2 linked regions of the Neodiprion lecontei genome follow. The protein of the gene in region 1 interacts with the protein of each later gene in a biochemical or structural test. Links are inferred from orthologs where the notes say so. Each region holds a gene or a part of one and is shown in the gene's direction. Other genes may lie near its edges.

What was found.
Region 2: the proteins of eukaryotic translation initiation factor 2 subunit 2 (region 1) and eukaryotic translation initiation factor 2 subunit 1 form a complex in vitro, tested with the Homo sapiens proteins (2 studies listed by BioGRID and IntAct). The link is inferred for Neodiprion lecontei from reciprocal best matches to the Homo sapiens genes EIF2S2 and EIF2S1.

The regions. Positions count from the first base shown.
Region 1 is NC_060261.1:38,616,352-38,621,823, forward strand, and holds eukaryotic translation initiation factor 2 subunit 2, read left to right. Parts: upstream 1-1,861; 5' UTR 1,862-2,016; coding exon 2,017-2,034; intron 2,035-2,628; coding exon 2,629-2,889; intron 2,890-3,133; coding exon 3,134-3,287; intron 3,288-3,361; coding exon 3,362-3,394; intron 3,395-3,662; coding exon 3,663-3,853; intron 3,854-4,113; coding exon 4,114-4,398; intron 4,399-4,478; coding exon 4,479-4,523; 3' UTR 4,524-4,950; downstream 4,951-5,472.
Region 2 is NC_060262.1:24,018,604-24,023,525, reverse strand, and holds eukaryotic translation initiation factor 2 subunit 1, read left to right. Parts: upstream 1-1,788; 5' UTR 1,789-1,948; intron 1,949-2,266; 5' UTR 2,267-2,271; coding exon 2,272-2,509; intron 2,510-2,775; coding exon 2,776-3,007; intron 3,008-3,120; coding exon 3,121-3,353; intron 3,354-3,704; coding exon 3,705-3,820; intron 3,821-4,013; coding exon 4,014-4,202; 3' UTR 4,203-4,342; downstream 4,343-4,922. Other genes in the region: 40S ribosomal protein S20, read right to left, coding at 4,534-4,796. UniProt on the Homo sapiens protein: Member of the eIF2 complex that functions in the early steps of protein synthesis by forming a ternary complex with GTP and initiator tRNA. This complex binds to a 40S ribosomal subunit, followed by mRNA binding to form a 43S pre-initiation complex (43S PIC).

The DNA.
Region 1 (5,472 bases):
TAAATATTTTTCGATACATCGGAATTTCGAGCTAACCTTGAAATCATTCACAAGTATATCGAAGACTGGGAAATTAGAAAATCAATCGAAGTGCGAGTTACTGCAAGTACATGCGATTGTTATACCCCATGTAGCAAGGCAAAACATAACCAATAATGGAAAACTCTCTCGCGTTAATTTCACCACTGTAAACAATTGTAATATTTGATGTGTCACACCACGAACCTTTCACACTCTCTATTTAAGACGTAACTAGCGTTATAATAACGTTTGCAGCGAGCAGAAGTCACTTTTTCGGTGTTATTATTTTACAATCGGGTTACATTTTATCATAAAATTCAGCGCCCAGTTTTTTCAGTTTTCTTATTTTCATACAAACAGCATTCAAATAAACTTTCCATAACATGCATGTACGTACACTCCGCATCGAGGAACGTTTCTTTTTTTTATTTTTTTCAAATAGGCGATATTTTACCTTATATTCTAATGAGGAAATATATTGCACGAACTAAATGCGGTTAAAAATGAGACCGTTGTATCATATATCCGCCTACTGTCATCAACTGTCACATTGTCGAAGAAATATTCAGCCGCTGTGCAACTAAGCTCCCGACAAACATATCGAGCAGCAATATCCGTATAGTTTCGGTACATCCAATACCCACTCTAATACGGCACTACACGTATGTCGTACGATGTACGCATTCGTGCATAGAAATGGAATAGTCAAATAGTGTAGCGCGACGTACGGTTGCGTGCACTACTTTAACTCCGCAGGAACCAGCGGAAGGCAGCGGGCAACAACACCAACTGTTTTCTCCTCTGATTTTAGCTTTGAGTTCGAAACTCACGGTTCGAACGCGATTGAAATCGCCTGTTGGCGATTGGTAAGTACTTATTCGCCTTTGCGCAAGCGACTTGCGAACGGCGCAACTGCGGCTGGCGGGCGCCGTCGGTTCAATTCGATAACAAGAAACTCATTGCCCAGGTAACTCCTGCAGTCGTGACTGCGTATAACCAGCAGCGATATTTGACGAAATCAATTCGTCTGCACAAATTTACCGAATGAGCTAATATTCACGACCGTGCAATGATTTTTCTACGACTCAGACGCTCAAAATTAACGGACATTACACTTCCGGGAACTGGGTATAACATGACTAGAACATCGTGTGGTTCAAGTTTATCAAGTTTAATTACAGTATATAATTTGTAGTTATAAATCGGAGTATGGATATACTAGTAATTTTATTCGGATACGGATAAGATATAGTTTGGAATTACGTTTCAAACGACGAAAATAAACAAAAAAAAAACAATCACAGGGAATCGAAAGTCGTGATGTTGTCAATATAATAAAATTATTGATACTGCATACTGTACTGACTAGCGCTTAAGCTGAATGTATGAGATAACACATTCTTCTGACCCTAATTACGAACAGGATGCGACCAGAGGACATACAGTTATGCACTGCAAAGCTGAATTCCTTCTAATTCGACCATATTATTCTCAACGCGTACTGAAAATGAGAAATATAATATTTTCACGTAAGGAATCGAGACGCATTTTTCGAAGCATCATTCGTCTCAATATAGATGCATTTTGCCGCGTACTAAAGTAGGTACTCAAACTAGCCGGCAAGGAGTACTCGCATCTCGTTTTCACTCGTCAAATTTAACTGGAAACGACGTAGGCGTGCCTGAACTTCACTCTGATGAGCCGTCAGAGCTTCACGGACTTGTCGCGCCCTCAGCACGTGGCAGCAGCTGTCGGTCAGACACCGGATTTTGATGGAGGTTTCTACCAATCGGGTGCTTTCGCTTCCCACCGTATTGCTATTTTGCGTGCTTTGATTCGCCGATTGATCTCTTGTACCTGCATGTGGCACCGAGAGAATATTCTGATGCAATAGACGTCAGAAAGTATTTTTCATTCTTCCGACAAACCAGTTAAATATATTCTCGAAATAACCAAATTACGTACAAAAAGAAAAGTTCTCTGTTTCTTATCAACATGACCGAAGAGGATTCGGTATGTATTTAATGAACCAATATTTGTGACTGGATAAGGTTCACTAACAGTGCACAGATTGAATGGCACAACGTGTTCCCATTTACGCATTTTTCATATATTACACGCTTCTGTAGCCATTTATTCCCCCGAATGTGGTGAATATTGCTTGGCTTTACGTCCAGTTTACATGACTCGAATCAGAAATTTTTTAATAATACATCGCAAACACAACCTCAATCCTGTATCAACGTATCACGGATTTTCAGGCAGATTTCCATGCGTCCACGTGATCTGTGTGGTTGTGGTCTGAGTTACAACAATCATTCTTGATATCCGTGATAATTTGGATAAAGCGATAAAATAGAACTATAAACACCCTTCTTGCGTATTGCATGATGTATCATCCATTCATTTTTTTCCTGCGTAATACTTTATACCGATAATAATTCATAGGATAATCAATGCTTCTCAAGCTAAAAATATGCTTATATTTATTCATCGTCGACGGTACTTATATTTTTCTCAATAACAGTATGATTTTATAGATTCGTTTCCCCTGTGATTTTCACCATATAGATGGGACTGATAGTTAATGAAACTTAAATTTTTCAGATCTTTGATCCTACTATGAAAATAAAGAAGAAAAAAAAGAAGAAGACTACTTTCGATCTCGATGCTGCAATGGCTGAGGGCGGCAGCGGTGGTGAAGCCACCGAGGGCATCGGTGATAAGGAAAATCAAGAGCCAGAATTGGGAGCGATAGATGACGACGAAGGCCTTGATCTAGAAAATTTTGGTAAAAAAAAGAAAAAAAAGAAGAAGGCATTCAATCTAGATGAACTCGATATGGCTCTCCCAGAAAGCAAGAAGGAAGTAGGTGTTACGTGCCGAATGATTTGAAAGTTATATGAATTTTATTATAGCGATGAAATGAAAGTCTATAATTGTTGAATTCTTGTGTTCGCTGTTTTTATGGAACATGATTTAAAGATATAAAAACATAACACAAGAAATACATCTCGAAAGACATAGCTGCGATTTCTTGAGTGACTTCAGGATCGCAGATTCATTTGGTGAAGTGATTTGACATTTTGAATACTTACCCTATTATCTTAAGGATGGCGCAGAGCCAATCGGTGAAGATGGGCCTGCGGAAAGTAACTTTGACCTGGATATGGAGTTCTCGGGCAAAAAGAAGAAGAAAAGGAAGAACATTCTCGATAACCTAGTAGCTGAAGAGGAAAAGAAGGAAGCAGAAGATAGGGAAAATGGTAAGTATTGAGACTAAACTCTGAAAAAACTATTTTGCTACGAGTTGCTTATCGTGTATTCTATCTGTTAACATGCTTCACTGAATCTGAGCGAAGTGTAGAAACTGGTAAGACACGTTGGTCGACTAGATAACGACTAGTATTTGTTTTTGCACTAAAATGCTTGTTTTTATGCTTTCTTAGCCGTTTGTGTCACAATTCTACTTTCGCTGTTTAGTTTAATATTTACCTTTTCGTGTCACGTTTGTACTTGCTACAAAGTAGTAAACCAAAATAGGGAAGTATTAAATTTATATTTTGTTTCTCATGGTAATGCTATTAAGAAATTTGTTACCACTTTAGTCACATTTTGATGACTCTTTTCCATTGTACCAGTCGAGGACACCACGTCGTGGCTTGGTTCAGACAGAGATTACACATATGATGAGCTACTAGCCAGAGTATTTGAAATAATGAGAGAGAAAAATCCTGACATGGTGGCTGGAAAGAAGCAAAAGTTTGTCATGAGGCCCCCGCAAGTCGTACGAATCGGCACCAAGAAAACTTCTTTTGCAAACTTTACTGAGGTATTGAATTGTTTAACTTTTTGATGTAATAGTTTTAAAACTAAATGCATGGGAATAATCAATATGTCGATACCCTACTTGCGAAAATTTGAAACAAAGTGACTTTTTTTTTTTCCTTCTTTCATTTTTTCATAGATTGTAAGTATATTCTCGCAAAATATTCAAACCTGAAGCCCTCACCAATGAATTACAATTTGCCATAGTCTGCAGAATACCCTTTTGTCTGAAAAATTAAACGGACCCTTTATTATCTTTCCCAGATTTGTAAAACACTGCACAGACAGCCGAAGCACTTACTGGACTTCCTACTGGCTGAACTGGGAACCAGTGGATCTGTTGATGGCAATAGTCAGCTTATTATCAAGGGTCGCTTCCAGCAAAAGCAGATAGAGAATGTACTAAGGAGATACATCAAGGAGTATGTTACGTGTCACACGTGTCGCTCCCCTGACACCATATTGCAGAAAGATACTCGGCTATTCTTCCTTCAGTGTGAATCGTGTGGGTCTAGGTGCTCCGTCGCTAGCATCAAATCTGGTTTCCAGGTAATTTATGAACAAATTTTTCGTTTCATCTACTGGACAATATACAACAGTTGGTATTGACATTTGTTTTTTGCTTTCAGGCTGTGACTGGAAAGCGTGCGGCTATCAGAGCAAAAACGACTTAGACACACTTATGGTGATAATGAGCGCGAAAGAAAACACAAACCCAAAATTATCACGTACGTTATTATTCTCAATAGAAAAAAAGTTAAATAAAACATTCAATACATACAAAGAGCTGCTGAATCGAACTTTTACAATAATTTTACCGCGTACGTAAATGTAAAGAGTGTATGTTATGTACTGTACCTTTTGTCACCTTGTACATAGCCTTACTACAATAATAATAATAATAATCAAGGTTTTAAATAAAACGCTGTTCAAACTGCAATTCGTAAAAGTAATGCTAAGAAATATTATACTAAATCAATTTCCAACAGTTGCAATATATAATCAGATGAATTAAATTGATGTCATGAAGTGTTCACGTTCGTTTCTTATAGGTAATGTACACATCTGTATTTACTAGCCAATAAATTCATCTCAAAATCATCTACGTTGAATATTCTCATAAATGTTTCTGAAACTTGAATTTATTAATTTATCATGTCTAAGTTTAAATTCAAAATATCCGAACAGTGCAACGTAAGCAGCGATCAGGCTTCGGGTCAGGTTAAATGTACGCGACAATCATGCCATAATTACATTGTCACTACATGATATCGAGTGCATGGCGATATAAGTAACCAGTATGGAAATTTTCCACCGCTAAAATGACAGTTGTGAGTAAATATTTACAAATACATTGTACGAGTTGATTGGACAAAAGTAGAATATATTCATATTTATTTATGTCATGCCATAAATGTATTGTACTGAACATAGATCCAGAACCATTTTCATACTAATCGTCAATTTTTCGTTGACGTGATTCTGCGAAAGTGAGTGGTGGCGTCGCTGTATGTATAAACAATCGCCAATCGGTAAATCGTCGAGACGTCACCATCTTGAAAATTTACCTCCAGTTTAACCGCCGAAACTTTGCGTGCTATTCGCGTCTTGATATTCAGTCCT
Region 2 (4,922 bases), on another chromosome or scaffold:
TTTAGGCTTAGGTCTGGTTCAGGGTTAGTCATTTTGTTTTCACCGATACATAGGTTTAGCGATGTAGTTCATAATGATCGTGATCACAAAGTGTAGTAAAATTTATTCAACTGTAGTTTTTTGTATGGTTTTACAGTCTTTGGTTGCGATCGTTTTTTGGTGGTTGTTCTTATTCTTCTCCGATTTTTTTCCATTTCTTCAAAGATTTCTGCATCATCTCCCGATAGGTAAATGTCAACGTCTTACAGCGATTCGTGTTTTGGATCATGGTTCAGTTGTTGATTGTTTTGCGTATTCATCAGGTTCTCCATTTAGCGATTATCTCATACGTCATGAAAAAAAAACCTGCGAGAACATCCAAAGTCAATCGCCTTTTGCATCTAAGATAAAAACAGTCACTCTTCATCCATAATTAAAACAACCATCTTTCATTCATAATTAAAATATTCATTTTTCATCGATAATAAATAATCAGTGGGTTATATGGACTCAAAAATGTCGAACAAACTGTGAATATACACGAGTACAAATTGATTGGGAAAAACAATTCACCATGATTGACATGTGAAAAAAAGTCATTTGCAATGTTTCGAAGAATGTAAAATCGATCTTGCAAGTATTCTCCGTGGAGTAGGCCTATTGGGGATACCACGTAAAAAAAAAAAAAACGCGCCGGCTGCTCTACCGCTTGCTGTGGTGTAGAAACGAGCATAAGTGTGCTTATTTTCACTGGTCAAATACTTACATATTGTAGTTTGTCAAATGGCAACTTTATTGTTGTGTAAATTTAACTCAGTCTTCGATAATATGTAACACATGTGGAATCGTGATACCTTCGGATTTCTCTAGTGCAATAGAGTGAATTCCACGTGAATACATTAATTTTTTTATGAATTTCGTTTCTTAATTCAAGTCAACAAGGTGCACATAGCTTTGGCAATTAAGACTTTGGCAATTCCAACATCTTTTTCCCCCGCTTAACCTTTCGCAGTCAACCCACTAAAATCGTTGAATTGTAAAATTTCTTTCTTGAATTTTTTGTATTACAAAAATTCGTAAATTCAATTCCAAACGCGCCTTTTGTGAGACGTGTCACGCACAGACGTGTCACGCATCAAACAACTATCAACTACTGTTCGGGTCGAATCATATTCATCCGCAATCAACTTTGATCAAGTTGTTACAATGAAACACGATATTTACATACCAAACGAGCAAGTCTCCCGTGACAAACGGTAAATAACAAAACAACGAAGCTCGTTCAAAACCGGGTACTAAAAATGACAAAAAGAAGAAAGAAAATACTGTATTGTAGAAAATTATTTCAAAATTTTTATGACAAATTTGTATACCTGCTTGTTTTCTAGATTACTCAACTGACTCTACTGTCAACTACTTTTCAAAAAAATTTATATAACAACGTCCCAGCTTATTTTCGTGTTTCAATTGTGAGTCTACCTTATAATTTGTCCGGAATTCACCGCGTTAGGATGTCACAGTTAACCGGAAAATTAAGTCTTTCATTCGTGAGACACGGCGATTGTAAACAGTTGAGACCTATGCTCGATTTAAATAGCCTAGAATTTAATTTTTCTCTATCATATTAAACATGATGAGAAAAGAGCCTTCCACTATGCATATAAATACAATTATTATCTGATGTCCCCGGTAGAAAGCAACTACCGAATCAGATTTTACACGAAATAAGAATGTGCGGTTGGGGCGCTGGTTGGGGTTACTGACACTTTTTACCCTATAGGTTGAGAGCACAGAAATCAGTGGGTAATTTGGTTGAGAGCTGCTGTTTGCCACTTTCATCAGCCTGTCTGTAGTAAATTCCCGATCCCACATGGATTATAAGCATATTTGAATAGAGTTTACAGTTTCGAGTAAATTTCTTCGGCCTTAGTTAATCCTACTTCTATTTTCATAGGCTCATAGAATCTAGGTAATCGCAGATGGATATTTGTATAGATAACGCATATTTCGTACGGCTAACCTAAAAGATAACCTTTAAATTTGGCTAACCGCTTCCATATTACGTTTCTCATCAATTTCATACGGAATGTTTGCATGATATTAATACAACCTCACCTAACCCGCCTCCAAAGTTCGTGTTGTATATGACAACCTGCCGCAGAATGTCTAGCTATCAACTTTTTTTGAAAGAATTATTGTTCCAAAACAGATTGTATTTTTTCCTTTTGCAAACTATCAGATCAACCCTCTACATTCTGTGATAAAAGAATTATATCTTTTCTTTCAGCCAATATGGTGTTATCTTGCCGGTTTTACAAGGAGAAATATCCTGAAGTTGAAGATGTGGTTATGGTCAATGTACGTAGCATAGCTGAAATGGGAGCCTATGTTCATTTATTGGAGTATAATAATATCGAAGGCATGATTCTTCTTTCTGAATTGTCAAGGCGACGTATTCGTTCCATCAACAAACTCATCAGAGTCGGAAAAACGGAACCTGTTGTTGTCATCAGAGTTGACAAAGATAAAGGTATGTATAATTTATGGCTGATTGTAATTTAAGCCAATCCATACTCATAATGCCAGTTCGGCGTTTTTCAGTGATTACTATGTTCAGAAAACCTTATAGAATCTGAGAATTGTACACAATGCAGACAAAAATTCACATCAAATTTCCTTACAATTTCACCAAATTTTAGGGTACACCTTAAACAATGCATTCAACTAGGAAATTCAATGTGCTTACCCATTCTGATTCTTTATGTAATCAATTTTAATATTGAATGTTTTTTCAAGGGTATATTGACTTGAGTAAACGACGAGTATCTGCTGAAGATGTAGAAAAATGTACAGAACGATTTGCCAAAGCTAAGGCAGTGAATTCGATTTTACGTCATGTTGCTGAGCTATTGCATTATGATAGCGACGAACAGCTGGAGGAATTGTACCAGAAGACAGCTTGGTACTTTGAAGAAAAATATAAAAAACAGAAGGCATCAGCCTATGATTTCTTTAAACAATCAGTATTGTGAGTCATCTTATTGATTGCAATTAGCAATTATTATTTTTTGAGTTTGAGGAAATTGCTTTAAAAAATTAAATACTAAAGGGAAGTCTGTGAATAAAAAATTTGTATTTCAGGGACCCTTCCATCTTGGCCGAGTGTGGCTTGGATGATCACACTAAAGAAGTATTGTTGAACAATATCAAGCGGAAACTCACATCTCAAGCCGTCAAGATTCGTGCTGATGTTGAAGTTGCTTGCTACGGTTACGAAGGCATAGATGCTGTCAAAACTGCATTAAAAGCTGGCTTGGCTCTGACGACAGAAGAATTGCCGATCAAAATCAATTTAATAGCCCCTCCGTTGTATGGTACATATCTGATTAATATTGATTATCATACTCATTAATCAGTAACGTATTAAATTACTTCACACTTTCAGTGTAATAAAATGTAATAAGATTTTGACTGATTTCAAGTTTGCAAATCAGAAAAACTTCTTTATAAAATTGTATTTCTTCAGGTGAAGAATACAAGTGAATTACAGAAATTTTTTTGGATTCTCAATCGATACTCTGAATAATCGAAGCATATAATGCATGTTTACAAGAATTAGTCAATGTGATTTGATGGTTAGATACTGAATTATTGCAAATCCAGATATCATTAAATATTTTTCATATATTATTAGGTGATTCAATATTCATTTCCTTATATTCCAGTCATGACAACCTCTACACCTGAGAAACAAGACGGTTTAAAGGCATTGAATGATGCCATAGAGGTGATTAAGGAAAAAATTATATCCCTTGGAGGTGTATTCGACATTCAAATGGCGGTGAGTTTTCAGTTATAAGCTTGTTGGAGATAGTGCTTTTAAAGATATTAATCTTTAAATACATCTTGCCACGGTTGTATCGATATATGACAAAGTCAAAAAAAATGTGTCTCTGTTGACTAGAACAATGAATTACCAAAAGATTCAAAGTTGCCACAAGGAGATCTTGACAATTGTTGTACTACATTTTCAGCCGAAAGTTGTGACAGCAACTGACGAAGCTGAGTTGGCAAGACAAATGGAGCGTGCCGAACTCGAAAATGCAGAGGTGGCAGGTGACGATGATGAAGAAGAAGAAGCTGAGGGTATGGGTGACTTCAGTGGGGGCGAAGAAGGTGAAGATGCGGGAAAGGGCGGTAACGATTCTCAGGAGGATGATTAAACAATATGCGACACAAACGAATTTGTATTCATCCTTCTCTATCTGACCGCATCTGGCGAGTAACTTTATCAAGTGCAGAATCACTTTCATTGACTTTATGATACAAGATTTTACAAATAAAGTGAAAAATATTATAAGAATATAATGAATTTAATTTATCTAATATCTCCATTCTTCACTCCTTCGATACTTCTAATTTTCAGCGTCCCACGTCTAAGTTTAGAGCTGCTTAAAAAATACGGTATAGGCACAAGGGGTAATAAGACTCATCCAGGTATTTTAATTTTTAATTTTTTATTCAAACATTTTATTGAAATTTCATTTCAATGGTTTATTCGTCAGCAATGGTAACTTCAACTTCTACTCCAGGTTCAATCGAGATGCTGGTTATTTGCTTCACAATTTCAGACGGAGAGTAAAGGTCAATTACCCTCTTATGAATTCGCATCTGGAAGCGATCCCAAGTCTTTGAACCTTCACCACAAGGTGTTTTACGTGTCGTAATCCTAAGAATCTTGGTTGGCATACGGACAGGTCCTTTCACCTTCAGCTTCTGTTTCTGTTTCTTAGCTCCAGTGATAAGTTCTGTACACACTGTGAATTTTGAAGGAACATTAATTTAAAATCTGATACTAATTTTTAAACTTCATACAAAAGTTTGCATCTAAATTGATAATATTTTTATTTTCAGTTGATCATTTGTCTTCACCATATTTCAAG